7 linked regions of the Ovis aries genome follow. The protein of the gene in region 3 interacts with the protein of the main gene of each other region in a biochemical or structural test. Links are inferred from orthologs where the notes say so. Each region holds a gene or a part of one and is shown on either strand. Other genes may lie near its edges. The genes, in order: AKT1, PPP1R15A, PPP1CA, MAPT, RRP1B, MPHOSPH10 and PPP1R10.

The links.
Region 1: of the proteins of PPP1CA (region 3) and AKT1, one has a biochemical effect on the other in vitro, tested with the Homo sapiens proteins (3 studies listed by BioGRID and IntAct, with this or other methods). The link is inferred for Ovis aries from reciprocal best matches to the Homo sapiens genes PPP1CA and AKT1.
Region 2: the proteins of PPP1CA (region 3) and PPP1R15A are reported together in a solved structure, tested with the Homo sapiens proteins (2 studies listed by BioGRID and IntAct, with this or other methods). The link is inferred for Ovis aries from reciprocal best matches to the Homo sapiens genes PPP1CA and PPP1R15A.
Region 4: of the proteins of PPP1CA (region 3) and MAPT, one has a biochemical effect on the other in vitro, tested with the Homo sapiens proteins (2 studies listed by BioGRID). The link is inferred for Ovis aries from reciprocal best matches to the Homo sapiens genes PPP1CA and MAPT.
Region 5: the proteins of PPP1CA (region 3) and RRP1B form a complex in vitro, tested with the Homo sapiens proteins (4 studies listed by BioGRID and IntAct, with this or other methods). The link is inferred for Ovis aries from reciprocal best matches to the Homo sapiens genes PPP1CA and RRP1B.
Region 6: the proteins of PPP1CA (region 3) and MPHOSPH10 form a complex in vitro, tested with the Homo sapiens proteins (2 studies listed by BioGRID and IntAct). The link is inferred for Ovis aries from reciprocal best matches to the Homo sapiens genes PPP1CA and MPHOSPH10.
Region 7: the proteins of PPP1CA (region 3) and PPP1R10 form a complex in vitro, tested with the Homo sapiens proteins (2 studies listed by BioGRID). The link is inferred for Ovis aries from reciprocal best matches to the Homo sapiens genes PPP1CA and PPP1R10.

What each region holds. Positions count from the first base shown.
Region 1 is NC_056071.1:66,967,750-66,971,249, forward strand, and holds part of AKT1 (RAC-alpha serine/threonine-protein kinase), read right to left. Parts: intron 1,124-3,500; coding exon 995-1,123; intron 1-994. UniProt on the Homo sapiens protein: AKT1 is one of 3 closely related serine/threonine-protein kinases (AKT1, AKT2 and AKT3) called the AKT kinase, and which regulate many processes including metabolism, proliferation, cell survival, growth and angiogenesis.
Region 2 is NC_056067.1:55,213,795-55,218,094, forward strand, and holds the start of PPP1R15A (protein phosphatase 1 regulatory subunit 15A), read left to right. Parts: upstream 1-1,500; 5' UTR 1,501-1,721; exon of another isoform or gene 1,722-2,232; intron 2,233-2,400; 5' UTR 2,401-2,409; coding exon 2,410-4,206; intron 4,207-4,300. Other genes in the region: PLEKHA4 (pleckstrin homology domain-containing family A member 4), read right to left, coding at 1-89. UniProt on the Homo sapiens protein: Recruits the serine/threonine-protein phosphatase PPP1CA to prevents excessive phosphorylation of the translation initiation factor eIF-2A/EIF2S1, thereby reversing the shut-off of protein synthesis initiated by stress-inducible kinases and facilitating recovery of cells from stress.
Region 3 is NC_056074.1:41,699,855-41,704,041, forward strand, and holds the start of PPP1CA (serine/threonine-protein phosphatase PP1-alpha catalytic subunit), read right to left. Parts: upstream 2,801-4,187; 5' UTR 2,751-2,800; coding exon 2,696-2,750; intron 2,166-2,695; coding exon 2,034-2,165; intron 1,889-2,033; coding exon 1,658-1,888; intron 1,026-1,657; coding exon 921-1,025; intron 334-920; coding exon 110-333; intron 29-109; coding exon 1-28. Other genes in the region: TBC1D10C (carabin), read left to right, coding at 3,972-4,187. UniProt on the Homo sapiens protein: Protein phosphatase that associates with over 200 regulatory proteins to form highly specific holoenzymes which dephosphorylate hundreds of biological targets.
Region 4 is NC_056064.1:45,622,035-45,626,245, reverse strand, and holds the start of MAPT (microtubule-associated protein tau), read right to left. Parts: upstream 2,801-4,211; 5' UTR 2,667-2,800; intron 1-2,666. UniProt on the Homo sapiens protein: Promotes microtubule assembly and stability, and might be involved in the establishment and maintenance of neuronal polarity.
Region 5 is NC_056054.1:264,405,266-264,409,494, reverse strand, and holds the start of RRP1B (ribosomal RNA processing protein 1 homolog B), read right to left. Parts: upstream 2,801-4,229; 5' UTR 2,724-2,800; coding exon 2,594-2,723; intron 1-2,593. Other genes in the region: HSF2BP (heat shock factor 2-binding protein), read left to right, coding at 3,963-3,998. UniProt on the Homo sapiens protein: Positively regulates DNA damage-induced apoptosis by acting as a transcriptional coactivator of proapoptotic target genes of the transcriptional activator E2F1.
Region 6 is NC_056071.1:25,149,708-25,153,645, reverse strand, and holds the start of MPHOSPH10 (U3 small nucleolar ribonucleoprotein protein MPP10), read right to left. Parts: upstream 2,801-3,938; 5' UTR 2,799-2,800; coding exon 2,680-2,798; intron 389-2,679; coding exon 1-388. Other genes in the region: MCEE (methylmalonyl-CoA epimerase, mitochondrial), read left to right, coding at 3,446-3,497. UniProt on the Homo sapiens protein: Component of the 60-80S U3 small nucleolar ribonucleoprotein (U3 snoRNP). Required for the early cleavages during pre-18S ribosomal RNA processing. Part of the small subunit (SSU) processome, first precursor of the small eukaryotic ribosomal subunit.
Region 7 is NC_056073.1:27,488,075-27,492,202, reverse strand, and holds the start of PPP1R10 (serine/threonine-protein phosphatase 1 regulatory subunit 10), read right to left. Parts: upstream 2,801-4,128; 5' UTR 2,750-2,800; intron 2,525-2,749; 5' UTR 1,993-2,524; intron 1-1,992. Other genes in the region: MRPS18B (small ribosomal subunit protein mS40), read left to right, coding at 3,404-3,481.

The sequences.
Region 1 (3,500 bases), on a different chromosome or scaffold from region 3:
CTGTTCTACCTGCTGCTCTGCTGACACCCGAGGAGCCTGGGAGGAGGGTTCAGGGCTCACAGGAGCCAGTCCCTGGTAAAGCACCCCAGGGAGCCCCCAGCCAGGGCCTGGTCGGGGTCAGGGCCTCTGCTCCCTCTGCTAGAAGCCCTGGGGTGGGGTGGGCTGGCTGGGCCTCCCTGCAGCACGGACAGCCCAGGGACCAGGCCGGCCCACCCAGGCATCTGCAGGCGCCGAGACTGGGGGATGGACCATGGTGCTACCCACCCCCACACCCTGCACCACAGCCCTGGTCTGACGCGGGGTGGGGGAGCTGGCGGCCCCGGGCTCGCAGGGCTCACGGCAGGGAGGGCAGGGGGCTTACGAGGAGCCGGGTGGGGCCGGGCCTGCATTCTGTGCCCCAGCAGCAGGTGGGCGGGCCCCGCGGCCTGCCAGTAAACAAGCCATCACTCCCCCACCCCCAGGCCTGTGTCCCGGGCCAGCCCTGGGCACGGCACCCAGGCTGGAGGCTCCGCCGGGCACCCCATCCTCACACCTCAGTGCCCCCGCCTCGGGCGGTCATACCTGCCACCCCCCTGCAGGTGCATGAGGCCACAGCAGCACCTGCTTTAGAAAAAATGCGCCCATCCGTTGAGCCTCCTGAGATGCCCCCGGCGGCACTGCCATACCCACCCAGCCTGCACCCCGCTGAGGAGGGCATACGCGCCCCCGAGGGGCCGGGGCCTCTGAGAACCTGTGCCGGGAAGACAGGCCCCTGAAGCCGGTGCACTCCAGCATGCCTTGGGCCCGAGCCTTGGGGAGAAGCCCTGGGGGCCCGTCAGTGCCTCCGAGGGTAGCACTCTGCCCCCAACAGCCTAGGGCCTCGGCTCAGAGACCCGAGCAGCCAAAACCAGCCACTAACAGTCCCCGAGGGCTGCCAGCCTGATGCAGAGGCCGGGGGGCCCACGAGGGGCTGCAGACGCGCAGGGACACCCGCCCGCGGCCACCACGCGCTTACGGGCCACAGAGAAGTTGTTGAGGGGCGACTCGCGCTGCTCCAGGTCCTGCGGCCGCTCCTTGTAGCCGATGAAGGTGCCATCATTCTTCAGGAGGAAGTAACGGGGCCGCCAGGTCTTGATGTACTCCCCTGCAGACGCGGCGAGGGGGCGTGAGGCTGGGCCGCTGGGCCACGCGCCGGGCCCACACACCCTCGTCCCCAGGTCGAGGGTCAGGCCAGGCAGACCCCGATCACCCAGGGTGAAGGGCAGGCAGGTATGAGGCTGAGCCTCTGGGCCATGCGCCGGGCCCGCACACCCTCATCCCCAGGTCGAGGGTTGGGCCAGGTCAGGCATGGACCCCGATTCCCCCGGGGTGGAGGCCGGGTGGGCAGGCGGGGCTTGCTGTGGGAAAGCACCCACCTCTGACGAAGAGCCCACCCCAGCCTGTGTTGGAAAGGGGGTCAGGTGGGCGCCTGGACCTGATGAAGGCTGGCCCAGTCCTAAGGGCCCTCCAGGAACCTGGCATCCAGCGCCGAGCAGCTAGCGCCACACTCGAGAGTGAGACGCCCAGACTCGCCTGGCAGACGCAAGCCCACCCTCAGCAGGTCCCCAGGGTGGGCACTCAGAGAAGCTCTTGCCCACGTGATGACCCTCCTGCCATCCGGGGGGGCGCCCAGCTCACAGTTGTGAAGCCAGGCCTGGAAGACCCTGTCCCACCCACGGGTCACCCAGGTCCCCAAGAAAGTTTCCCCCCAAGTTCTGCAGCATCAGCCGTACACGCGCCAGAGAACCAGAGCAGATGTCCTCCGTGACGTCCCAGCGACTGCCATTTTTCATACTGACACCAAGAAAAAACGTTTCGTTTCCATTTTGCCGAGCAAGGAGTTTGAACGGCAGCAGAGGACTTACTAATTAGGCGCCCACTTCAGCAGAGGGCCACTGGGCGGTGGAGGGGAGGGGCCGGGCTTTCCTGGACGCGGCCACCTGGAGGCCGAGCAGGGCCCAGACCCCTTCCCCTCGCCCGCTCCTCCGCCCTGGCCCACTCCCATCTGGGGCCCCTGGGGCCTCTGGGGGATGCGAGGGGCATCCAGGAACTTCCCGCCATCCCCCAGGGATTGCAGGCAGGGGTCTCCACCAGGCCCAGACACTACTGACCCACCCAGGAGGGCCCAGGAGGCGACCAGTGACCTGCCCCCACCCCAGCAGCTTTTAGCAGGGTCCCCACCCAGTCCTGAGACCCCCCAGGGGAGGTGGCTAGCACGGCACTTCCTGTCCCAGGGCTGGGGATCCCTCAACGGCCTGTGCCAGCACTGGGGGAGGAGAGTGGGGGTGGGGGGCAGAGCTGGCTGGGGGCCGCCCGCCGCCCGCCACTCGCCCCACCCGCCTGCGCGCCAGTCTGGAGCTGTCGGCCCCTGATGGAGAGCCTCCCGTCCCGCCAGCTGCCGCTCCCCGGGACGCTAAGTGCGCTGGGAGAGCGATGCGCGCCGCACCCGAGCAGCCCCCAGATCCATCTTCATTCACCAAATGCTGCCGCCCCCACCGCGCCCAGCGTGGGCCCCCAGCGCCGCGCCCCACGCGGGCTGCCAGCAGGAGCCCCCCCACGCCCCGGCCCAGGCCTCAGACCCCGCCATCCCCAGCTGCGGACCCCACCCACCGTGCCCCCAAGAGCCCACCGCGCCCCCACGAGCCCACCGCGCCCCCACGAGCCCGCCGCACCCCCACGAGCCCACCGCGCGCCCACGAGCCCAGTGCCAGGGCCACACAGGCTCTGGGGACCCGACCTGGGCAGGTGGGGGTGGGGGGAGCGCAGGCCAAGAGAAGCCGGGGCAGGCACTCAACGTGGACAGGCCCGTGAGGCCTGCTGGGTCCCCCGACAGCTCCGCACCTGGGGCACTAGAGGGGGGCCACACCCGCCTCGGGCCCCCGGCGGAGGGGCAGTAGCCGTGCTGCGGCGCGGGGATGGCGGGAGGAGGCCAGGGCTGGGGCTCGGAGACACAGACCCCGTTCTTCAGTCTCTGGGACGCTCCCGCCTGCAGACGTCCAGCCAGGCAGCCACTCGGGGCCGCCAGCTGCGACCTGGGCTGTGGCCTGCATGGGAATGAGCTCAGCACAGACAGGGCGCGGGGAGGGCCGCCGGCCCAGGGCCTGGCCACGCCGTGCTGTGCGCTTGGCCGTAACACTTGGGGGCCAACGACGGGGGGACGGCAAGACAGGCACCCACAGCCCGTGCTGGGGACAGATGGGGAAGCCCAGGGCGGGACGCCCTCCTCTCCTGCCCCCAGGGGCCCCTCCTCATCCCCGTGGACAGTCTGCCAGCGGGGCTCTTCCACCACGCCAGCTCGTCTCCAGGAAGCGGCTACAGGACTCCCGAGGAAGGAGGGGATTCCTCTCCAGCATCGCTGGCCTCCCACAGCCGGGCTGGGGACCAGCTCGGGGACAGGACGAACGCAGGCTGACGGCCAGCCCCCCAACATCCCCCAGCACAGGTCCCAGCACGGGTCCCAGCGGGCAGGAGACCCAGAGGCC
Region 2 (4,300 bases), on a different chromosome or scaffold from region 3:
GCCGAGGGGAGGGGTTGGGGGCGACGTCCAGCCCCCTCCCCGACCGCTGGATCCCTGCTGGACTGGAGCCTGGGCCACCGGGGTCCCATAAAAGCTGAAGCTAGGATTCCTAAATATTTGGCGAGTTGGAATTGGGCCTGGACTCCAGGGCCTCAGTGGATTGGTCGCTGTCAGGGGCCGGGGGGTCACTAGCGCATCCTGAGTGGAGATCACTAGGATCTTGGAAGGGGCGGGGGCTCAGACTCCTGGACACCTGGAAAGGTGTGAGCTGGGATTCAGGACTGCTGGGCTGTGAATAGAGCTGGGATCTGGAAGAGTGGCTTTAAGTGGACGGGTCCAAGTGTGCCAGTGACGAGGAGTGGCCCAGATTCCTGAACGAGCAGGGTCAAGTGGCCAGGGTCAATGTCCACCTCGGATTCACGCGAGAATTCCGTTCTAGAATGAGGATGACCCCTTCAGGAGGGAGACTTGAGTCCCCGGCATATTTTGAAGAACAGGATTACTGGGTAGGGCGGGAGGGATGGGGGTGAGTAGCGGGGAGCCGGTGCGGGGGAGGACTGGGACTGTGTTCCTGGGCCTGGAATTTGTGGCAGAAGACCCCCCCCCCCCCACTCCCATGAGGTTCCGTTGGTGCTACACAGCCAGAATTTCAGTTTGTGTAAGCAGAGGTTTTTTGTTTTGTTTTGATAAATTTGAAGCGGGTGAAACCTACGAGTGGAGACTTGTGCCCTAGACAGGGAAGGCGTGTGAATTTTTGGTTAAGTATCCCCTCACCACGATAAAGAATCTGCCTGCAATGCAGGAGACCTGAGTTCGATCCCTGGGTCAGGAAAATCCCCTGGAGAAGGGAATGGCTATCCACTCCAGTATTCTTGCCTGGAGAATTCCAGGGACAGAGGAGCCTGGCAGGCTAGTCCATGGGGTCGCAAAGAATTGGGCACAACTCAGCGACTAACACCTTCACTTTCACCACGTATTTGTTGAGTACTTACTATGTGTCGTGCAGTGAGCAAAGCAAAGTGCCTGCCTTCAGGGGGCTTACACATTCTGTCTCTTTGGCAATGAATCTAGACTCTGCTGTGACCGCCTTGGGCAAGTGATTTCATTCCCAAGCCTCAGTTTCCCCATCTATGATATGGGAACAATAATACTCTCCCACACCAGGTAGGAAGTCGAACAGATGGAAAGTAGGAGACTCTAGACTGGGGCCTGGTTTTAAGTCAGAGGCGAGGCATTTGCTTGGAACAAGGGTTAAACGAGCTGGCTTTCTGCTTGAGCAGTTCACGCGCTTGAGTGACAGCTCACTCGTTTGGGGTGTGGCCACGCTTGGAAACACCGCCGCCGCGTGATGTCACAAAGCGCGGAATCTCCGCGAGAAGTCCAACCTTGTTTTCCGTTCCCTTCCCTCACGTTTACGTTTCGAAACCCCGCCTCCCTTCTGACGTCAGCACGTCCGGCTGCCTTGAGCCATAAAAGTGCTGACGGTAGCGTCACCTTTTCGCGAAGTTTCCGGCCTGGATGTATTTGTATGTTTCCCTGGACGATCGTACGCCTCTTTGTCGCGACAGTGCTTGTAGCAGCCGGTGACAACTTGAGTCCTCGAGCCCGACGCCGGAGGGCGAGATGAACGCGCTGACCTCCCGAGCCGTCCGAACCTGCGAACGCTTGTGGCAACCTCAGCCGGCGCTCCTGCCTCCGGGTTGACGCGCAGTCCAGAGCTGGTGAGTTGAGGGGATCGGAACACCTAGGTCCCCAGGGGTTAGGGGCTGGGACCGGACTCCTGGCCAGTTAGGAGTTGGGAGCTCAGACTTCTGAATTCCGGTGGGTTCTAAGGAAGGCCTGGAAACCTGAGGGGTTCTGGAGGGGTGGGAGGAACCCCAGGGCTCCGACTTAGGAAGCAGAAAGAATTGGGAACTTGAGAGTCCTGAAGCAGACGGAGGAGGGGTCCGGGAGCCAGACTCTTGGGTCCCCAGAGAAGTAACCATCCAGGGATCGGAATTTTTGAGTTTCCAAGGCGGGGGTGGGTGATGGGAGCTAATTTGTCAGTCCTCAGGAGTTGAGAGAAGCAAGGACTAGGACTTTGTCCCCAAGAGAAGTAAGTAGAGGACCTGCGTTTTGGCTTCCTGGGACCAGGACTTTCGGGTTTGAGAGCAGATGGGGCTAGGGGCTTGTTGGACTCAGGGAAGGAGAAAATGGGGACTCCTTGGGTTTTGAGAGAAGAGGTGGGGAAACAAAGGTCAGAGATGGGAGTGGCTAGGCTCAGAAAGGAATGTGGGGCAGGAACTCTTACATTGCTGTTTGTGTTACTATTTCCGTTGCTATGACTCAAGGTCATCCTCTGATGCCATTCCCTAAATGGCTTCTAAACCTGACCCTCCTTTTTCCCTCCTCTTTCCCCAGCCCAGACAGATGGCTCCAGGGCAAATACCCCATCAACCTGCCCCCTGGAGTGGTACCCACCCCTTCTTCCTGCTGTCCCCACTGATGGGCCTTCTCAACCGGGCCTGGAGCCTCCTGAGGGGCCCAGGACCTCCAGAGCCCTGGCTAGTGGAAGCAGTAATCGAAGCAGATCAGGGAGGAGCTGGCCTGGAGGATGAAGCAAAGGCTTCTCTGGCCACCTACCATGCCCCCTGGGGCAGGCACCCTCAAGAGGAGACTGAAGACAGTGGAGCAGCTGAGGAGGACGGAGAAGCCTCCCCGGGGGCCTGCCTTGACCTGGAAGGCAAGCATTCTCTTCCCGAAGTCTGGGGACTTTCCGATGATGATGATGAAAAGTACAGTGAGGAAGAAGCAACTGGTGTCCCTAGAGAGCAGGAAGAATTTATGGATGGCCAGCCTGCTCCCCTGCCCCTCAGCCTTCTGATAAGATCTCTACCAGACCTTCCTGGGGAGAAGGAATCTAAGGAAGAAGCGGTTACTGGAGGTAACGAAGTGACCCGGTTCTCTTTTCCTCTGTCACACTGGGAGTGTTGCCCAGGGGAGGAGGAAGAGGAGGAGGAGGAGGATGGAGAAGCTCTTAGGGTGTGCGGCCCGGTGAATGGAGCCACAGAAGAAAGAACAGAGACTGAAGCAGCCACGAAGACCTCCATGTACCCCTCATCTGTAGGCTCCCACCTCAGGGCCTGGGAATGTTGTTTGGGAGAGGAGCCTGAGGAGGAGGAGAAGGACAAACAGGCTGGGAAAGGGGATGCTGACCCAGGGCCACACTCCACAAGTCTAGCCCAGAGGCCCTCCCTCAGGACCTGGCAGCATCCGTCCAGTGCGATCACAGAGGAGGAGGAGAAGGAGGACTGTGATTCAGAGGAAATGGGGGCTTCCTCTTCCGTCCCACCCACAAGTGCCTTCCTGAGCGCCTGGGTGTATCGACCAGAAGAAGACACAGAGGAGGCGGAGGACTGTGATTCAGAAGCAACTGAAGATGAGGGAGAAGCCGAGGTCTCCTCTGCCATCCCACCCACAAGTGCCTTCCTGAGCGCCTGGGTGTATCAACCAGGAGAAGACACGGAGGAGGAGGAGGACTGTAATTCAGAAGCAACTGAAGATGAGGGAGAAGCCGAGGTCTCCTCTGCCATCTCTCTGAAAAGTTCCTTCCTGAGTGCCTGGGTGTATCAACCAGGAGAAGACACGGAGGAGGAGGGTGAAGAGGAGGAGGACTGTGATTCAGAAGCAACTGAAGATGAGGGAGAAGCCGAGGTCTCCTCTGCCATCTCTCTGAAAAGTTCCTTCCTGAGTGCCTGGGTGTATCGACCAGGAGGAGACACAGAGGAAGAGGAGGAATGTGATTCAGAAGCAACTGAAGATGAGGGAGAAGCCGGGGTCTCCTCTGCCATCCCACCCACAAGTGCCTTCCTGAGCACCTGGGTGTATCGACCAGGAGAAGACACGGAGGAGGAAGATGAGTATGAGGACGAAGATGATGAATCAGGAGCAGCTGACTTGGGACCCGGCCCCTCCCTTCAGACCCAGAGTGCCCTCCTCAGGGACCAGATTTATCAGCCTGAAGAGAAAACAGATGGAGGGGAAACTCCTGAGAAGTGGGGAGAAGCTGAGCCCTGCCCCTTCCGAGTGGCCATCTATCTACCTGGAGAGAAGCCCCCACCTCCCTGGGCTCCTCCTCGGCTGCCCCTCCGACTGCAAAGACGGCTCAAGTCTGCACAGACCCCCACCAGGCATCTGGACCTTGAACCTCTCCCGAAGACCAGAAAGGTAGGTGCTGAGAACTTAGATTCTTGAGGTGAGGGAGGAGAGGGCTGGGAGCCAGCACTCCTGGACCTGGGGACCAAAGGACTGGAGGCCCCGA
Region 3 (4,187 bases):
CAAAGAACTCGTAGCCGTCTTCTACTACCTGGACGAGGGTGGAGGCGGTTAGTTCAGCAGGAGCTGGCTGCCAGCCCTGCTCTAACCCAGATGGGGGCTGCCAGCCCACCTGGTGTGCCCGGCAGATGAGGTCCAGGTCATGCTTGTGCAGGAACTTGGCCACCACCTCAGCTCCAAAGGTAAAGGAGACGCCGCGGTCATTCTCGCCCCAGCCCTGCACGTCCTTGTCAGGGTCAGACCACAGCAGGTCACAGAGCAGGCCCTGGTCAGGCACATCTGTGGGCCGCATGATGCGCCGGATCTGCTCCATGGACTGTAGGTCTGGGGACAGGCCTGGAGGGCACAGGGGGCAGGTCACCTCCTCCAGGCAGCCTTTGCCAATCAGCCTCTGCCCCCCACCTCTCCAGGATTCCTGGGAGCCTACAAAGGCAGAACTCATCACCTTCTGCCTCTTCCAAGTCCCTGTCCCTTCAAGGAGCACAGAGCTCCCTGGAGAAAGTGTTTTCGCTCAGTCGTGTCCGACTCTTTGCAACCCCATGGACTGTCCAGGCAAGAAAGCTGGAGCGAGTAGCCATTCCTTTCTTCAGGGGATCGTCCCAACCCAGGGATCAAACCTGGGTCTCCCGCATTGCAGGCAGATTCTTTACCATCTGAGCCACTAGGGAAGCCCTGGAGAAAGGGGACAAGCAAACTCCATGCAAGAAGGCGAGGCCATGACACAACAGTGGGTGCAGCCTAATGCTGCAGTGCGGGGGCACGTCATGGAAGAAGTACTACCCATACCAGGACTCCAGGGAGAGCTGTTCCTGGCGACTGGGAACACATCTTCCAGCCGACGCTTCTGTCCCAAGGTCCCCAGGGGTGCTCACCCTGGGAGGCTCATCCTGCTCAAGAATTCACATGCCCAGAGCTGTGCTCACCTCCATGGCAACAGAAGATCTTCTCGTCCACGATGGCAGCGATGGGCAGGCAGTTGAAGCAATCAGTGAAGGTCTTCCACAGTTTGATGTTGTAGCGTCTCTTGCCTGCCCAGGGGGAAGGAGACAGCTCACCAGAGGGCCTCTGCTCCACCCTCAGCCCAGGTCTCCAGGCCTTCCAGGACACATTGTGTGTTGTTCAGACACAGCTAGGAGGAGAGAATGGAAGGCAAAAAAGGAAACCGAACCCCCGCCCCCTACCCCTACTACCCCACTGCCTCCCAGACAGAATTCTAAAGCAGCCAAGTCCACGGGAACCCCAGAGTTCCACTTCTGGCACGACCTCAAGGTTGGCATCCACCCCCAGCACAAGAGCAGGGCCAGGTCGAGACAGGGTCTGGTTCATCTTGGCTTCTGTCTAACAGAGTCCAGTCCCAACAGGCATCCTAAGTGCTTAAGTATCGGATGCGCTGGAGGGGAGTGTCAGCAGGTGAGGCCCTGCCTTAGAATCCTGGCAGCCCTTCAGCCAGCAGCCACTGGCTAGGTCCCTCCTGAGTGCCAGGATCTGCTCTAGGAGGGTCGGGGAGGGTGGCATGGGCTGGTGCTACCTTCACGGCACTCAGCTTAGCAGGTGTTTGTCAGACGCTGACACCCCAGCCACCAGGTCAACACGAGGGTCGCACTGAATGGCAAGGAGAGCCCTTTAGGACCAGGGCAGCCCAGATGCTCTGCCCACTCACACTCATCATAGAAGCCGTAGATGCGGTTGATACTGGCACACTCGTGGTTCCCACGGAGCAGGAAGAAGTTCTCCGGGTACTTGATCTTATAGGCCAGCAGCAGGCAGATGGTCTCCAAAGACTGCTTGCCCCTGTCCACGTAGTCCCCCAGGAACAGGTAGTTACTTTCTGGAGGGAAGCCGCCGTACTCAAACAGCCGCAGAAGGTCATAGTACTGGCCGTGAATGTCACCTGTGACCCAGGGAACCAGGTCAGCACTAGGGCAGCCTAAACGTGAACCCAGGGTCAGGGTTGGGCCCAAGGGAGGAGAAACTTGGGAGGGGTGGGGGGCAAGGCCGCTTTCAGGAGGCCACGGGGACCTGGGCTGGGGGCTCACCGCAGATCTTGAGGGGTGCCTCCAGCTCCAGAAGAATGGGCTGGCTCAGGAAAATCTCCCGGGATTTGAGGCACAGACCACGGATCTCGTTCTCCGTCAGCTGTACATTCTTTCCAGGCCTGGAGCCCTGCACTGGGGGCGGAAAGAGGCGTCAGGACCCTGGTTCCTCAGGCAAGAAGAGGGTGAATGTCACTGGTGGCCCCAAAGGCACTTCTGGGTAGGGGCTCCTGGGCCTCCCGGCCCCGCCTTGCCCAGGGGCAGCTGTTGCTGCTGAGCCTCCTGGGACCCCCAACTGCCCTCAAGGCGCTCGCGAGGGGACTGCTGTGCGCAGAGGCCATCCAAAACCTCAGCACAGGACCCCTTCCTGGGGGACTAGGCTTCTCAGGTTTCTCCCTCAGCCAAGAGCCCAGGCCAATCCTTGCGCGCCCACCCCCGCCACCGCCAACCCCGGTTCTGCTCTGGCAAGGGGAGCAACCCCAGACCTCCCAGCGCGCCACGACTGGGGTGGGGTGGGGGCACGATGTGGCCACGGGACCTCGCGGCCCGTCCCCGCCCAGTCAAAGCTGGCCCTGGGAGGGGCAGGTCCACCCGCGCGCCACTTCCGGGCCGGGCAGGGGACCAGGGCGCGGCGGGCGCCCACCTCCCTCGCCTCCCCGGCCAACCTTCCAGCAGGCGTCCGATTATAGAGTCCAGGTTGAGCTTCTCGCTGTCGGACATGGCGGCGCCGCCGCTCTGGCCCAGCACCTCCGGGCCCTATCCTGCCTCCCGCCCTCCCGCGGCCTCCTTCCGGCCTGGTGCTCCTTCCGCCCGCCCGGGCCCGCCCCGGCCCGCCGCCCCGCCTCCTCTGCCGGCAGCCCCGCCCCGCCGCACCCGGCCCCGCCCCGGCCCGCCCGGTCGCCCGCCGCCCCTGCGCTCTAGCGCCTCCACTGGACGCCAGGCCCGGGGCCCGCGGCGGCTCGGGAGGCGGGGCTCGGGCTGACCTGGTTGCGGGGGCGGAGCCTACACTGGGGGCGGGGCTTCACGGGGCGAGGTCGACTCTAGTTCCGCCCTTGAGGAGTTACCCACCCTTGCACCGAGGATGTGCGGCCGGAAGTAGTGTGGAGTTGTTTTTCTCTTTCAAGGGCCCAATAGTCCTTCCCATTTCTGTCCCGGGCTAGAAGGTGGTGTGACCTCATTGATATCTCATTGGGTCTCCCCAGAGAGTGCAGATTAAATCCACGAAGTGCAGGAAAGGAAACAGGTTCAAAGATAGCAAGGGTTGGCTTCAGACTGACGGAGGAGCTCTCACCTCTAGGGTCCCTGTGGCCTGCGGGCGGCTGACCATACCCAGACACCTGTCGCTGAACGCCGAGCTCATTTTGGTCCCCCTGCCCGTGGCGCATGCTACACCATTACTACTATTTTTTAATGTCTCGTCGTTGTGTTTTGAGTAGCGCAGTAATGACTTACTGTTTGACTTGTCGAAAGCGTTAACAAAAGAAGTCACGTTAAATAAAGTGTAATACTCACTGGAACCCTGAATTGAGTGTTTTATTTGCCTGTGACCTCACATCTGGAGGCAGCGTGGCCTCTCTACCTCTGGCAGGCCCTGGCTGCATCACACCCAGCACAAGAACCCAGGCCTGCACCCACCTAGCCCACCGGGGTGGTGGGAGGAGCCCATGGCCCAGGGCTACTGGGGCAGGCCGGAAGAGCCCTGGAGAGGAAGGGGTAACCCCCCCCACCACGCACTTGGGAGGGGCCCTCAGCGGGTTGCTGAAGCTGTGGCTGAGGAGGAAGTGAGAGGAGGAGGTGAGGTGCAGCAGGGAGGTAAGCTGGGCCCCTTGGGACAGGGGCTGGGCCTGGGTCTCCGGTAGGGGGCCTGGCCTTTCTGCCCCTCTGGGCCTGTGCCCCACCCCCACCCCACAAGAGGAGAGGGTACCAGAGGGGTATGGTGCGATGCCCTGCAACCTGTCCTCTTTGACCAGGCGGGCAGGTCCTGGGGCTGAGGCCTGGCTGCAGAGGCGCCCCGGCCCCGGCTGGCCGGGAGCCCCTGCTCACACTGGCTGTGCCCACATCTTGCAGCCTGCCGCACGGGGGGTCGGTGGCGCCATGGCCCAGGCCCTGGGCGAGGACCTGGCGCAGCCCAGTGAGCTGCAGGATGACTCCAGCTCC
Region 4 (4,211 bases), on a different chromosome or scaffold from region 3:
CATCAAATCGCCAAAACACCGCAAAACAGAGTAAAAACGCGGAAGCCTGTACTGCACTTTGTTTCTAGCACTGGGCTAAAGACACTCGCCTCTGCCGGCTCTTTTCCCCCCAACCGACAGGAGATGACTTCTCTGCCCCAGGTCCATCATGGGCAGCGGTGGCCGCGGGCTCCCCGTTCCTAGGGCCCCTCCGAGACCCTCGCTCTGTCTGGTATCAGAATCTCTCCTCCAGCTCTATTGGCGGCGATGATGCTCGAATTGATCCTTGAACCTCTCCAAACCAGATTCGATCTTGAAGCCACGGGAAGGTTCGGCCTGGCGCGGGCAGACTCTCATCCCCAACCGAGTCATTCCGCGCCTATTCAGATAAATCTGCGTGGCTCGAGAAGACAATTTGGCCCCTAAAATGCTCACCCTTCTCAGAACTGCGCCCTCGCACCAGTTTCCAGCGATAGAATTAACCAGAAAGCCGTCCAGGATCCGGCAAATGGAAGGCAGGCGAGGCTCAGATATGTTCGCCAGGGCCCGAACTCGCCTCTCTATCCCCTCCCCCCTCCCCCTATGCCCCCTCCCCCATCCTCACCTCCCGGTTTCAAGGCGGCGGCGAACTCGGACTCTTAAGCGAAAATACCGCACAGTTCTAAAATAAAATTCGACTACAATAATAAAAACACGAGAGATGTCTATCTGGGTGGCTTCAGCCACCGGAGTCCAATAAGAGCCATGGGTTCAGGGCTTGCGGGGGAGGTCTCCCTCCATCATCCCCCAGGAGCCGGGGCCGGGGGCCTGGTCCTGCCTATCCCAGGCTCTCAATCTCTGTTCGGAAGGGGCGGGGCAACGCCCCAAGGTCTATTTCCCCGGCTCTTGTGGTCTCCTTGACAACCTCCCCCCTGACCCCCCTCTAGTCCTTTTAATAAAATGGGTGTGGCCCGCAGCACCCGAGAAGACCTCTTGCCCCCTCCTCACAATCTCCCTCCTGGCGAAGCAACAGGGCGTGAAGCGAAGAGGCGCCCCGCCTTCGAGCTCCCACCGGGGGTCGCCGGTGCTCCTTGGTGTGCAGCCTGGTGGGGCGTGGCCCGCGGACGCTCCAGGTGTGGGGAGGGGCATCGTTCCTCTGCGGCCACCGGCGAGGCGCGCAGGGACCTCGGATCCCACCCCTTCGGCCCCTCGGAGGCTTTCTGGCGCGCGCCCCGGTTCTGGGAGAGGGCTGCGCGGGGTCACGCCCGGCCCATGCGTGCCCCCCGGGAGGACTAGAGTTCCTCGACCCCGGCGAGCTCCGAGATCTAACAAAGGGCTCGGAAATGAGGGGCAAAAAGCGGGGGGAGGGGCGGGAGCTGTGGTTAAACACCTTCATAGAATAAAAGCCAAAAATCAGGGCTGGCAACACAGATCACGTAAGCCCTACACACAAAGCAGTCAAGCCCCCGAGGAAGATCTCGGGTGAACGACCCCGGTACTCGGGCAACAAAATGCCAAGATTTCAGCGCTAATTGCTCCCCCTCCCCTTAATGACAGTCCCCGCCCTGTCCTCCTGAGCTCAGCCATCCGGCTTGGCATGGCACTCTAAAGACGTGACACACCGCAAAAAGATGGCACCTCGCGATCGGAGGGGAAAAAAGCAGGGGTGGAAGTGGGAGGAGGCACAGCCTACCCTCCCCCTCCTCGCCCACCCGGGTCCACACCCACTGCCGCAGTGAGGGGCGAGCCCTGCGCGCCAGCCCCGCGTCTCCGGCAGGGAGCGCACACGCCGGACTCCCGGCGCAGAGCGCAGAGAAAGGGGCCCGCCCCGAAATGCACCTGCCGCCCCTGAGCGGGTCTGTGCGGGGCTGCGGCTGTGCGCACCCTCGAGCCGGGATCTGCAGCTGCGAAGTCCTTCCATATCCCAAGTCCAGGTGACCCCTGCCTTGTTGAGCCTCCACATTGGGATCCGGGCACTACGTTCTCTCGGGCACTGCGCTGCTCGCGTCTCGGTGCCAGGCGCGCGCAGGGGGAAGGGCAACTAAAGTGACAGCGCCAAGACCCCTCCCCATCTCCCCGATTTCACTCCCAGCCCCCAAATGTCCCCTGCGGGTTTCTGAAGGAGGAAAACGAGAAGAGGGTGGGCCACCGCCTTAAACCAAGGGCCGCGAAAGCCCGGCTGAAATCAGGGCCGGGGAGGGATAGGGAGGGGCAGGCAGGGAGTCATCTTTTCTAGAAACCGATCAATACCTTGTCTGCAAACCGAGGCAGGGAAATTGGATTACAGGTTAGGTTTCGGGGGTCGTCATTGGACCCCTCTCCACCCCCCCCCCCACAGAATCACACGCCCATTGCGGCAAAAGACGGTGTTCGAGCGTGCATAGCAGCCCCCTCCCCCAGATCACCGCCATCCGCGCCCCACCCTGTGGGCACAACCTCTGCCGGGTCCGCGTGAAGCGGGTCTTGTAGACACCCCCCCACACACACGCACACAGGACATACACACACGCGCGCGTGCATCCCTTGCATAGATCCCTTTTCCAAGTCACCCCAATCCCAGCGCTGGAGCGCAGAGGGCGCAAGGAGCGGCCGCCGCCGTTGCCCCCGACCAATGCCCACCTCATGAAACCCATCTCTGAGGAGAGGGGCGGCGGTATGCAGGTGCAGCCGGGCGGACCGGGAGGCAGATTTCGGAGCCTCGCACTTACCTGATAGTCGACAGAGGGCGAGGACAGTAGAGGGAGGCAGAGGAGAAAGTGGCTGTGGTGGCGGCGGCAGAAGGTGGGCGGCGGCGGCGGCGGCGCTGCTGCTGGTGCCTGAGCTGGTGGGTGGCGGAGATTGCGAGCGCGCGCACGAGCGGAGAGGGCGCGCTCCGGCGGCCGGCGGGCGGCGCAGGCGCGAGCCGCGGGAGCGCGAGCCTTCCCAGGGGAGGGGCGGGCCGTGAGGCCTCGGTGGGCGTATTCTCCTCCGGCCACCAGTGGGCGCGCGCGAGCGCCCCAAGGTTCGGCCCTTCCCCGCCTCCCCGCTCTCTCCTCTCGGCGCTTCCCGTCCAGGGTCTCCCCTCCTCCCACGACTTGGGCCGCGGCGCTGACCGCAACGCGCACGCGCGCCCCTTGGCGCACGCGCACTCCGGGTCTCCTGTCGCGGTTGGAGCCTTTGTCTTGTTTGAGGGGTCTCCTCCCTTGGGAGGATGGCTTGGTTGCTCCCTGGGTCGAGAAGGGGCTGGGTGCTCCGCCCCCAGGTCCGCTGCCTCTTTTATCCCCCTGACGTCTTGGAGTGATGTCCTGTCTCGGGAACGTTCTGGGCAAGTTTCCATATGGCCATCCCTCCAGTCCACCCCAGACCTCAAAACCTCCCCGGACTTGCCCCTCTTATCGCTGGCACCCTGACTCTCCCCTGAATTTCCCGAAATGATTCCCCTTGTTGCAGATCAGTTTCCTTGGATCTGCTTTCTTTCGACCTGCTTTCTTTTCACCTTTTTGTTTTGTTTTTGATCAAGGTGAATTCTTGGCAAATCTACTTCAATTTGCTAAGACTTACAACTGAGTTAAGGCTAACTTAGTAGTAATAAGGTAGTGCAAGGTTTTGAAGGGTTTGGGGTTTTTTGTTTTAACAAGGATCATTCACATCTATTATCTTCACCCTAAGAATAAAATCTTAAATTAGATGAAGTTTCACTTACCGCGTTAGAAAACATTTTCACCTATAAAGTTATTTTTATCTTGTTTGTCAAACACTGTTACACTGTATAGAGTTTGAGATCTGGATTTCTAAGTTCCTGCTGGAGATTCTCACCTGGATAACACTGCTTCAGATTGAAACTGACCAGAGTGTTCTTGCCTGGAGAATCTCAGGGACGGGGAAGCCTGGTGGGCTGCCATCTATGGGGTCGCACAGAGTCGGACACGACTGAAGTGACTTAGCAGCAGAGGCTTTCATCCTCTCAGTCAGCCAATCTCTAGGCTTTGTCCTTAGCTGGTCTCCCCAACATCTAATTTAAGCCCTGACAGTCAGTGGGAGGCTTTAAATGCATAAGAGCTTGGGGACCGCTGTCGTGTACTAAAAAGACAGGAATTTGTCTTAAAGCTTTTATTTGCATAGGTCACAATTTTTCAAAACTGTTGTGTGTTATGTGCTAAGTCACTTCAGTCGTGGCCGACTTTTTGCGACCCTGTGGACTGTAGCCCACCAGGCTCCTCTGTCCATGGGATTTTCCAGGGAAGAATTGTGGAGTGGGTTGCCATACCCTCCTC
Region 5 (4,229 bases), on a different chromosome or scaffold from region 3:
CAGGGACAAGTGAGCTCTTGTGAGCAAAACTGCGGCTATTCCACGGCTGTGAATGATCAACACTTAAAGCGGGTACAGCAACACTTAGTTGCTTTAAGCTCTACAAAGATTTTCAATTTGTTTTCAAACTAAGTTGCTAATGGACAGCAGAGTGACATCTCAGACTCTCTTTTCTATGCCTGAGACAAGACACAATTGACCGCATCAGTGAGGTTCTACCATCAGCCCAAGTTATTTCCGAAAGTGTGTTTCTATTCCGACAGGCACAGCTGTGGCAGAGACTATGTCCATTCTGTCCCGTCACCCCTGTCTAGATGTGCACTTTACTGTCATTTTTCTGAAGGCCTGCTACACTCCCTGCATTGTGAGGAGCATAGGACAAGTAACTTAGACCACACCCGGGGCACTGCATGCCCCTGGGCATCCTGCCCTGGGGCCACCCCGACGTTTCAGACCCTGAGCCTGTTCACCAAAGGGGTTTTGAACACCAGGCTCTGTCTGGTCGCCTCAACCCGTAGGCGCTGCATCTGGTCCTTCTTCTGTTCTGTACACAGGCTGGCCCTCGTGTGTCTGGATGCGCGCCCACTTCCAGCTAGGAAAACAGATGGAAGTTTACAGTGTTCTGGGGAGACAGTGACACACCGACTGATAATTAAGAAGCAGGGCAGCTAAGTGCCACAACAGACACACATAGGGTATCCCGGGATCCTTGCGGGGCAGGGTGAGGTGAGACAGAAGGCATTTTGGAGCGAGTGATGCTGAACTGAGTACTGGGAGTTGGAGAAGTGCGGGGATCTTTTCAGAGAATGGGAGACGTGAAGGCAGAGGTGAGAATCGGTGTACTGAACACCAGGAACCAGTGTGGAGCAGTCACATGGGGAAGAGGGGATGAGGTGTGGAGAGAAAGGCAGAACAGACCGTGGTCCACAGACCTGGGACTCTGACCTGTCCAGCTGTTTTAAGATGATGAGCCAGGCTGGTTCCAGAGCAGGGGGTTCACTGGGGGCAACTGGAGTTTAGATGATCGAGGAAGCAAGCAACTACAGAAGTCTAGATGAGACAGGGGGTGGGCGGGGGGCAGGGGGGTGCTCCAGGCAGGGGAGAGTAGTTCAGGAAATGAGACAGCTGAGACCAGAGGACACTGGATGCAGGGTGGGGGAGAGGAGCCTAGCTAGAGTCTGGGTGGGGAGGGGAACTAGCATCCAAAATGAAAGAGCAGGGGCAGCACAAGAGGTTTGGTGGTTGGGGGGCGGGGGGCGGGAAGAAAAATGAATCACTTTTGGACATTCTGGTCTGAGGACACAAGGTAGACACTGCCAGGTGAGTAGGGCGTATCTGAGCTGAAAGCAGCAAAGATCTGGGTTAGAAGACCAGGGTTAGAAATCTCCAGCATATATGGGATGAGTAAATTAAATCTGCTGGGGAGACCCTGAACAGAGTCAAAGTCTTTCTAGCAGACTTCCCATGAAACGATACTTTGTTTCCCCTGGGTAGTCTCTTGTGGTTTTTCCTTAAAATAAAACATTAACTAAGGAGGTCAGCACAAGGAGAGATAACATCAATTCTTTGAAAGAGGCTCTATGTACCAGAACTAACAATAAAAAAATCAGACTTATCTTGTATGCTCAGCTGCTCAGTCGTGTCTGAGACTTTGGGATTCCATGGGCTGTAGCCCACCAGGCTCCTCTGTCCATGGGATTCTCCAGGCATGAATACTTGAGTGGGTTGCAATGCCTTTCTCCAGGAGGGTCTTCCTGACCCAGGGACCCAACCCAGGTCCCGCACTTAACGTCTGAGCCATCAGGGAAGCCCAGACTTATCTTAGTGCCATACAAACCTCCACTGCACACTGTAGCTCATTCTTTCAGGAGTTTACAGATCAGTTAATGAAATCCTTCAACGGTACCCACTGCTGTTTAAACCCAAATCACAAAGCCCGATGTGACTTGGCCGCTGCCTACTTGTTCAACTTCACCTTCCCTCACCCTCCCTCACTAACCTTCTCGCACTGCTAGCCCGCCTCCTCTCCGACCTGCTGAACGTCAACGGCCGACGTAGAGGATGGTTTTCTTTCTTTGGTTTTCGTTTCCGTTACTTTGCTTAAAGGAGCTCTGTTTCAGGTATAAATTCCTCCCTAGACTTCCCGGGGCAACTCTCTCCAGGGTAGGGATTCTGTCTTCTCTTTTGCAATCCCAACTCCTAAACGTGTTGGTCAAGTGAAGGCGTGACTCAAAGAACAGCGCACCAGAATCTATCAGGTGAGCCCAATGATCCGGCGTCCAGGCTCGGGGTTGGACAGAACGGGTCTACCCTAAGCTTCACCACCCACTGTGACTTTCAGCAGACCACCCGACATTGTCGGCCACAGCCCCTCAACCTTAGAACAGGACGAGACCCAGCAGAAAGCGGACACAAAAGCACACGCGGGAGTGCGACTCAGTGCCACACGCTCTCCCCGCTCCGCCCGCGGCTCCCCCGGCCCGTCCCCTGTGACGCACCTCCCGACCGGGCCCCCTTCCCACAACCCCCAGCCCGGCCCACCCCGGGCTCCCACGCCCGGCCGCCATGTGCGCGGCGGACCGCCGGCGCCCACCTGTCTCCTTCTGCGTCTTCACGCTGATGTACTGGCGCAGCTTCTTCACCGCCCGGTCCCGGATGCCCTTCTCGTGGGACGCCAGCCGCTGAGCGAACTGTATCTCGGCCGGCTGCATGGCGGGGGCCATCGTGTCCGTTGGAGCATCCCCCGCCACAGCCCGCCGCCACAGAGCGCCCGCCGCCTCGCCGCCCGGGTCGCGACTGCGCAGAAGGCTGTGGCGCGTGCAGCGGCGCTCAGGCTGATGGCGTCACAAAGGCGCCGGCCGCCTCTCGCAGCGCGTTCTGGGAGCTAGCGCGGCTGCCAAGGCAGCCGGCTGAGCGGCTCGTCCCTGGTTAGCGGCGCGCCTCTCCGCCTCTGCCGTCTCTCGGTAGCCAAAGCTCGTGGCCGTTGACGGCGAGGTTAGCCGGCGTTGCGTGTTGGCCGGGAAGAGTCCGATAGCCAGTTTTACGTGGTCTAGAATCTTTGCGCCCACTCCACTAAATCCTGGTCCGATTGGAGCTGTTCCCCGGGAGACGCGGCACCGAGTCTTGAATCGCTTTGGACTCCTCGGCCGCCAGGGCTGGGTGGAGGCTGGGGAGAGAGGCTGCCCTTGGGAATTTTGGTGGGATGTTGTGGGCAGCCCCCTCGAGGGCCGCTCTGGTCTCAGCGACCGGCGACCCCCAGTGCCCGGGTCCCGGCCGCGAGGATTGAGAGCGTGAGCTTGAGGTCCTCCCGCGGGCCTGGAGGGCACGCACGCTGGGCACTTGGCCTTGTCAGCTCGCGGCCGGCTTCAGACAGGCAAAGTCCTAGTGGTATAGTAACTGGTACCTTTGAACGCATGGGCACTGTGCGAACTCAGTGGATGTGTAGGGGCAGCTGAATGGACGGGGCGATGTGTCCTAGCTTACGGTAGCCGTTTCAGTTACGTACCAGCGGACTGGACTAAGTCTCCCTATCGAGGGCAGACCTCCCGAGCAGTCTGTTGTCAGAAAGCTTTGGCCTTTGCTCATGGAGCTGGGAGCTGAGTGCGGGAGCCAGGCGGCCGGCTGCTGGTTCCTTTGAACCTGTCACCCCTTGGTCTGACATCCCTTGCCGAGCAGGAAGGGCCTTATTCGATTTATTTCACCGGACACTTAAGCGAGGGTCTCACTGTCCTTGTACTTTGCAGTTAACAAAGTTTACGAGTCTGGTTAAGCCAGAAGAGCCAACGCGGGATCCCGCCGACCCATTCTGGGTCTTTCAGCCGAGAATGCTTCGAAAACTGCGTGGCCTGAGCCTCGCGGCTCTCCGTACCTGACTCTCGGTGTGGACGCGTTCCCGCGCTTTCTGGCGTGAGGGTCAGAGGGCGCGCCGCCGCACAGGCGCAGGAGCGAAGGCCGCGGCAGTCATGAACGAGGCTGGCGGCGCTGAGGAGGCCTGTCGGGTTAGTGTGGGCATCCAGGTCTCGGCCTGTGAGCTCTAGCTGTCGCCCTCCACTCCCCCACACCGCTCCTGGGTGCCGTCCAGTGTGTTCGGGAGGGCCCTGGGCGTCGTCCGCAGACAGCATGCCTTGGGTAGGGGAAGGGAGGCTGCAACCCCTGCCTTGGAAAATTCTCCCAAATTCTCGGGTGTGCGGGTCCAGGGGGCCGCGCAGGGGGCGGTGGGCGTGCTCCTG
Region 6 (3,938 bases), on a different chromosome or scaffold from region 3:
TCTCTCATCTGCTTCAGGATCATCAGCACTCAGGTCTGACACTTCCTCTTCCTCTGCTTCCTCCACCTCCTCCTCTAAATCTTGTTCCAGGTCCTCCTGGCCAGCAGCCTCCAGCTCCATCACATCTTCTTCACACTCCTGCTCTTCACTCTCTGGGAGAAGACTGATGTCTTCATCTTCAATGGTTTCACTAACTGTACTCTGGAAGTGCTGTAAAATTGGTTCATTTTGTAGTTCCAATTGTTGCCAAATCTGCTCATCATCGAAATTATTTATCATCAATTTTTCTAAAGGACTCCCATGTTTCCTGTCATTCTCTAGTACTTTATTAAAATCATAAAGTACTTTTGTTAAAGAAGTAAACTTTGATGCCAGTTCACCTTGAATGCTGTTAAGAGGCAGGGAGAAGGAGTTAAATGAGATTTATGAGATTTATAGTTATAGTTAACAAGTTCACAGCACTCAGAAATGAAAGGAAAAAAAAGGCCCAACTCTTGCGCAAAATCAAAATTTTTAAAAGTTGAAGTACTGCTTTAAATATATTAATTTCAGTGATTCAGTATTTTTGATTATACGCCATTAAGTTATTAGAAGCTAATGGCCAAGAATGTTCCACTGCCGTACAATATATCCTTGTTGCTCATCTAGTTTACACATGGTAGTTGGTATCTCTTAATCCCACAGTCCTATTTCATCCTCTGCCCTGGCCCCCCACCCCCAGCAACACTTTTTTGGTTATGTATATTTGTGAGTCTGTTTCTGTTCTACTATATACATTCATCTATATTTCTTTTAAAATTCCACACGTAAATGATAACATACAGCAATTGTCTTTCTATGACTGACTGCAACAGGCATAATATTCTCTAGGTCCTTCCAGGCTGCGGCACATAGCACAATGAAATCTCCATTTTAAGTATAGATTCTGGCCCCCAAGAGTGTACTGTCTTGCCCAAGAGTTACATTAGTATATAAAAGGTGACAACCCAGTATCTCTGAATCTGCTAGATTTCAGGCAGGGAACCCATTACAAACCTCTTTGCCTTAAGATAAAGAGTGAATCTTCTGGATGAGGAAATGGCAACCCACTCCAGTGTTCTTGCCTGGAGTCCCATGGACAGAGAAGCCTGGCGGGTTACAGTCCATAGCGTTACAAAAGAGTCAGGCATGACTGAGCATGGATGGAGTGTATCTTAGCCTTAAATTCTCAACTCTGCTATATCACAGGCCTCTCCATTTAGTCAGTCCACCTGCTGTGGCAAAAGTGGTCATAGAATAGCTGTGATACCTGAGCTGATACCTATCTATAAGATCACAGTCTGACAAAAAATCTGGAGACACATATTTCAGGCAGAAGAAACAGCAAGAACAAACTTCCTAAGACAGAAATGAGGCTGGTGATTCTGAGGAGCAGAAAGGCCAGCTTGGCTTGAGTGTGGTGAAGGAGGCAGAAGAGAAGGTTAGAGAGCTGGGTGGGAGCCAGATCATGCAGGCCTCAGAGATAAGAGGCTGTCATTTTCATAAGCGAAGGTTTTGGGTACTTCCCTGGTGGTCCACTTGCTAAGACTCCACACTTCCAATGTACAGGGCCTGGGTTTGATCCCTGGTCAGGGAATTGATCCCACATGCAGCAACTAGGAATTCACATGTAGCAACTAAAGATTCCGAGTGCTGCAACTAAGACCTGGTGCAGCCAAATAAATCACTAAATATTAAAAGTAAATAAATGAAACAGTACAAATATTTTAAAATCTTAAAAAAAAATTAAGGCTTTAAAGCAGAGAAGCAAAATGACCTGACTTATGCTTGGAGAGATGGCCTGCCAAGAAGAAGGAATGAAATGAAGGTGATCAGGAGACTGAAGCAGACAAAGGATGCACAACTGTGCTGGGATCAGAGCTGCAGAAATGGTGACAAATAATCAAATTCAGAATATGGTTTGGAGATGTAACTGACAAGATTTGCTAACGAACTGGACGTAGAATCGAGAAAAAGGAAGACACTGAGGAAGTGGCTTGGTTTGCATCTGAAAAACTGTAAAGATACAATGTGATATGGAAGGCAGGTGGAAAGGATGGGGAAAGGATCTCAGGGAGGGCAGAGGATAGGAAGCAAACACAGCAACAGTTTATTTTGGACAGACTGAATCTAAGATGCTGAGTGTACGGCTTTAGTTGACTGTGAGCCTGGAGTTCAAGGGAAAGGTCGGGCGTGAAATACAAGATCTCTATACGTCTTCGAACAAAAACACCAAGAGCTTGTGCTGGGAAGAGATTAAAGACAATTCTAATTTTCAAGAGGCTCAGTCGTGGGGTGGATAGATAAGCAACTTAGTACTTTCAATAAAGTCTGATGATGAGTAAGTAAGCACTGGGTGCTGTGGGAACAGATGTGAAAAAGAGCACGCCACCAGGTGCGTCTGTGCGAAGGACGAGGGCATGAAGACCTCGAGACTGTAATAACCCAGGTTAGTTTGAGTTCAGCAGCACAGAACTGGGAGACCCACAGAACACAGCTCTTAACTATCTAAAGAAGTGTGACAGGCCAGGACAGCGCAAACTACCGGAAAAGTAAGGAAAAGAGCTCTTCCCTTCTCCTAATCTGGAACTTGCCGGGAGCCCGCAGCCCGCGCTCACGCGAGTCCTGCGCCACACCAGAGCCCGAGATCTGGGCACTTACGTGAGGAAGCACTCTGGGCTGTCGGTGGCTTTACCGACCTCCTTCAGGCACCGCTCCAGAGTCCGCCGACGCCAGGCTGGCCGGGCCATGGCTGACTGCCGCTCGGGACAGTGCCGCATGCAAAGGAAGTGAGCCACCGCCCGGAAACCAGGCCTCAAAGATTCGCCCCCGCGCGACTGAAGCCAGGAAACGAAGGTTCCGCGGCGCACAGGTTCCGGATCCACCTCCAGCCTCAGCCAATGACGGCCCGAGAACTTTAACCCGTTTTGCGCATGGGGGTGGGGCTGGAAACCGAAAGTAGCCTTTGGTCAGCTCGATGAAACGTCTCCAAACTTTTTGCTTTGTATTCCCGAGGGGCCCACAGGAGGTGTCGAGTCCTCCTAAAGTTTCTGCTTTAGATGCACTCTAGGTGACTTCAGTACGTTGTGCTGTAAAACAGAGGGCCTGCTCCCCCTCACACACACAAACGCTGCACACTCGCCAGACCCCAGCCTCTTCTGCCCCGCCCCTCGGAGTTTTTGTTCGGCTCTTAGCCTCGTCTGTCCCGCCCCTCCGGGCTCTTGCCCCGCCCCTAGTCTCGTCTGCTCCTCCCTTTCAGTCTCCCGCCCCGCCCCTAGCCAGGTTGTCCCGCCCCTCCGGGCTCTCACCCCGCCCCTAGCCCCGTTTGCTCCGCCCTTTCGGCCTCTCGCACCGCCCCTAACACGATTGTCCCGCCCCGTGCGGCACAGTCGCCCCTCCCACGGAACTGCAAGTCTGGAAACAGCTGATGCTTCCCAAAATGGCACGAGTGCTGAAGGTGGCGGCCGCGAGCGCCGCAGGTGAATACTCCGGGATCGGGGCTGTCCGAGGGGTGGGACCCGCGGGAAGGGAGGCCGGGGCGTGAAGAGGCCGCGTGTGGTCAGCACACTTGAGTCTGCTACGGTCTGCTCCCGAGGCGCGTTCCTTGGCTGCTGTCAGAGCCCTTAGAGCTTCCCAGGGACTCCTCGGGTTAGCCTGGGGATTTCCTTCTGTGTTTGCATCTGATGGTCAGCAATTCTCTGTGTGGCCCTGGAGGCGGGGTCGTCCGGCTAAGGGGCAGCCAGGCCGAGCCAGACCCAAATATGGTAAATGGCAGAGGGACAGTGAGAGACGGGGGAGGAACCAGAAGAAGCACTGAAAACGCAGGCTGAACTCCGGCCCACTCTGGAAGGTCAGTTGTGTAAAGAATATGGAAGCTGTGTGTCTTCTTCCCACGTACTCTAAGATATTCATGGTCTTGT
Region 7 (4,128 bases), on a different chromosome or scaffold from region 3:
GCGGGAATAAGGGCCATTTAGAAATCAGTCCTGAAGGACCCACTCTCCCCCCGATTTCCATTATACAAATCGACCACACGCAGGAGGCCCAAGGACGGACTCAGTCCTGAGCACAAACGGCACATTTCAGGGTCATCAGGCCCCAGCTGTTTACTCCTGTTAGTTTCACCATCTTTGTGTCTTCCCCCAGGATCCCCCAACACACACTCACACCCCCGCTAAAGCTTCCAGTCCTAAAATACAGCTGTTTGGTTTTCCACCCCAGGCAACTAAAGCAGGGAAAAACTTCCAAGCAGTAGTGATGAGAGAGGGTGAAAATAAAAGCAACAGGCTCGGGATCCTTATATACAAAAACTAGAGCTGCCCAAGGAGACAGCTTCAAGATCTAATTGCGACAAGCTTTTTTTCCTTTTAAGATAATGGTTACAGAAGGTTAAGGAACATAAGGAAAATGGCTTTTCCCGTCTAGCAGCAGCGTGCATGAGGAATCCAGAAGGCATCTGCTCGGGGGCGGGGTTTCGAGAGGGTGGAGAAAGGAGGAAGAAAGCTGATTACATCACCTTTCAGGGCGGCTCCTCCCCCTTGACCAAGTTTCTAGGGCGGCCCTAAGCTCTAGATGGCAAACGGGGAAGGAAAAACAAAGAAGCTGGGACGCCATTTTGTAATGGAGAAGACTCAAACTTAAAGCTATCCAGGCTCCGCCGGTAGCTCTTTACATTTAAAAAAACCACTTTTTTAGTAAAAAACAAAAAAGAAAAAAGCAGTCCATCCTGAATAGTCTGACCTATTTTGAATCAATAAGAGCTTTGTGAGAATACAGGCAATTAAAGTATTTAAAAGAACAATTTTCTGCGGGGAGGAACTGAATTTGCAATTGAGGTTCAACTTGCTACTAACGACCACCCACCGCCCCCCCCCCCCAGCATCTTCCCTATAAAGGGAAACGGGGGGGGGGGAGGACTTGGACCCCTCTCAACAAATAGGGTTGAGGTGGGAGGACAGGAGAAAAATGGGTCAAGACACAACCTGCGACGCCGCTTGGAAGACAAAGGACAAAGAAAGTCGCCATATTGAAGCAGGGAAGAAAAAAAAAATTCCTTTTAACGACACAAATCTTTTAGATAGCATTCAATTGCACTAAATGGCTTGTAAAATTAATACTCCTGAATTCCACATTCCCCCAACCTTTCCACCCTCTAACTGTATTCCCCCGACCAGAAAGTATCAAGTTAAAATGTTACTTTTTCTTTTAAATAACCTATGCAATCTGCAACAATTACAAAACATTCTTTACCTCCCCAGCTATCAATCTAGTATGTATTGGCACTAAGATTATATTTTGCCCTGAATTAAGTGTCTTGCAATCTTTATTCCTAGATTGCCACCTAAATTAACCACACAAATATACCCCAAGCATATTACATTAAAATTGAGAGGAGTTAACAATCATTTTAAAAGATACCCAACTATTACTTCTCTCCGCCCATCTCCTTACCCTGCAATCTTTATGTACAGATTGCTTATTAATCTGGCAAATTGAAAAGCGCCCTGCTTGTCTCACACACAAAGAAGTGGGACTTCTGGGCCACAAGATCCACCATCTTTTGTATGTGAGCTCATTAACCCTTTTGAAGACTGCTAACGAGAGGAAGGTAACCATTCCTCCTTATAAAAAGCAAACACTTATAGCTTTGGCAGTCTGGAAATTGGCTGGATTACCAAGGGTTAACCATCAAAATCCTAACTCGCAGGCCCTCCCTCCACCCTCTCCTTGCCTGCGGCAGAGCAGGGAAGAGGTAGGTGGTTAAGGGAGAGAGAACACTGTTTTAGACCCAACGGCCCTTTTTAATGGAGATTAAGTGACCGGATCGGTCCTTCTCCAGTTCTCTATTTGTTCTATGGTCTCATTTCTTCCTCTCATTATTTTTGGTTTCACAACGGGAAACGTTGATTTCTTGTTGCAAGGCTGGTTTTTGAAAATTCGACACTTACTATCCAATTTTTTTGCGACGTCAGCACCTCGGGCTCAGGGGGGGAGGGGATTAAAATTTTGGAGAAAAAAATAAAACAACCAACCAGGACCCAAAACTCAATTATTTGGGGGGCCTCATTGGATCAAAAAATCTCTTTAGAAAAAATAAAGGCCAACTCAGTATTCATTTCCCCCCCACCCAACTCCATTTAGGGAGGGGGGTCGTAGAAAAAAAGTTCTGAGTGGATTAAAAAAAAGTAAACGCTGGATGAGTGGACTTGGGTGAGTTTGGGAAGGGTGGGTGGTTGATTATTTTTGAAGTTATGTGGTGACGGTCCTTCGGCCACAGATTTCAAGTCCCAGGCAGCGTGGGCTGGTGGGGTGGGCAAGATAGGTGGGAAGGGGCAGAAGACACAAGTGGTTGGGCTGGTGGCTGCTCTTTTCCCTTTCCCCCCTCTCTCTGGATCCTTTCAAGGGCTTAGATGTTGCTGTGCTGCGGCTTGTTTCTTTTCTCCTGGTGGCCGGCCTGTCTTTCTCCGAGAAAATTCAAACCTGGGATAAAAGGAACACAAGGGAGAAAGATGTAATCAGTACGGGCTGCTATTAAAACACCCAAAAGTACCATTTTTGTTGTCCCCAAACACTTCCATGTCCCACCCCGAATACAGCCGCTTAATACGAATCATGGCTCTCAACTGAGCCCGCGTTTGACCCGTTCCCCAGGCCAACTCTCCGAGCAAAATTTTACCCACCAACCGACAAAATGGCAACACTTACCTCTAAACGAACCCCAGAATGGCGGCTGCCCGCTCGGGCGGAGTCTTTTATACGAGGACACCGCCCAACGCGCCCAAACGTGCTAGTGAAACGCCCCCTTCGCGAGACAATTTGCGCGAGGCGTGAATTCATTGGTCAACCAGGGAAACCACTCACCAGCTGATTGGATATCCGGCCTTAACCTTCGCTCAGCCCCTTCCCCCGGGCACCTTCTTCCGCCTCCTTCCTTGGTTGGGGGTGGGGGCCCTAACGCGTGCGCGTGACCAAGCAGCCTAGTACCTCCCTTTCCTCTGCTTCCACCACTTCCGCCCTCGAGAACATTTCTCAACAAGGGTTGGTAGAATCGGCCCGGCGCATGCGCAATGAAAGGATCAGGGTCAAAAGCGACTTCAAAATTGCTTAAAACACAGACTCTAAGAATGAGAGTGAAAAGTCATAGTGACTGGTTCAGCAAAAACGCAATTTTAAGGCCGAATTCGATTGTGACGCAGTTGAAATTGCCCTCTCCCTACGCCCGCCCCTCACGCTTCCGTCCTGACGCAGACGCGCGTCCGCCTTCCGCACTGCGGGGTCGTCCTTGGCCCCACCCTACTCTGGTTCCTGGAACATGCGCAGTCTCGTTTGCGGACGTGCCTGCTTTGCGGGTACGTCAAGATGGCTGCCTCCATATTGAACGTGTTGCTGAGGCGCCTTCCTAACATTTCGCCCTTCAGAGGTGCCTACGGAGTTCAGGTAACTCCTTGGGGCACATTTTGTACAACCTCAGATTTGGTTGTACTTTCTCTAGGTCGTCGCTCCACTGCCAGGGATCCTGGAGCGGAGAGCTTCCCAAGTGCTTGTACATTGGCTGTCAAGGAAACGCTCTGCTTCCCCCATCCTCCCCCTTCCCCTCTCATTCCTCAGCACAGCGCGTTTTCTAATCTTGAGACAAGGGTAAAGAGCCAGGGTTGGATGTCATTCTCTTCCCAGCTTTCCATCTCGGCCGGATATTTAGGCGATGGAATGTGGACCCCTTGGCCAAACACAAACCAACTGTTAACTGTATGGTGGTGTCTAAATCTTTGATGCCCAAGGGTGTCATTGGGTTTTGAGGGACACTAACTACTACCAGCCCGGCTATCGCTCAATAAAGCCAGAATACATTCTCACGACCAGGGGACCAGTTTCTCGGCTCTTTATCTCACTAAATCAGTTTCTTCCTAAAGCATACATGGGAGCATAACTACTTTGGATGGAGGTTTCCCCTCAGTCACACGTACTCACCACCCTGGAGATTCTTGATGGGGCAGCGTGATATTGGAGGGCTTGCCCATCTGCCACTCCCTAAAGTGAGACTGAAGAGTGATGAGAGGGGCTACCACAGAGTTAATTATAGACTT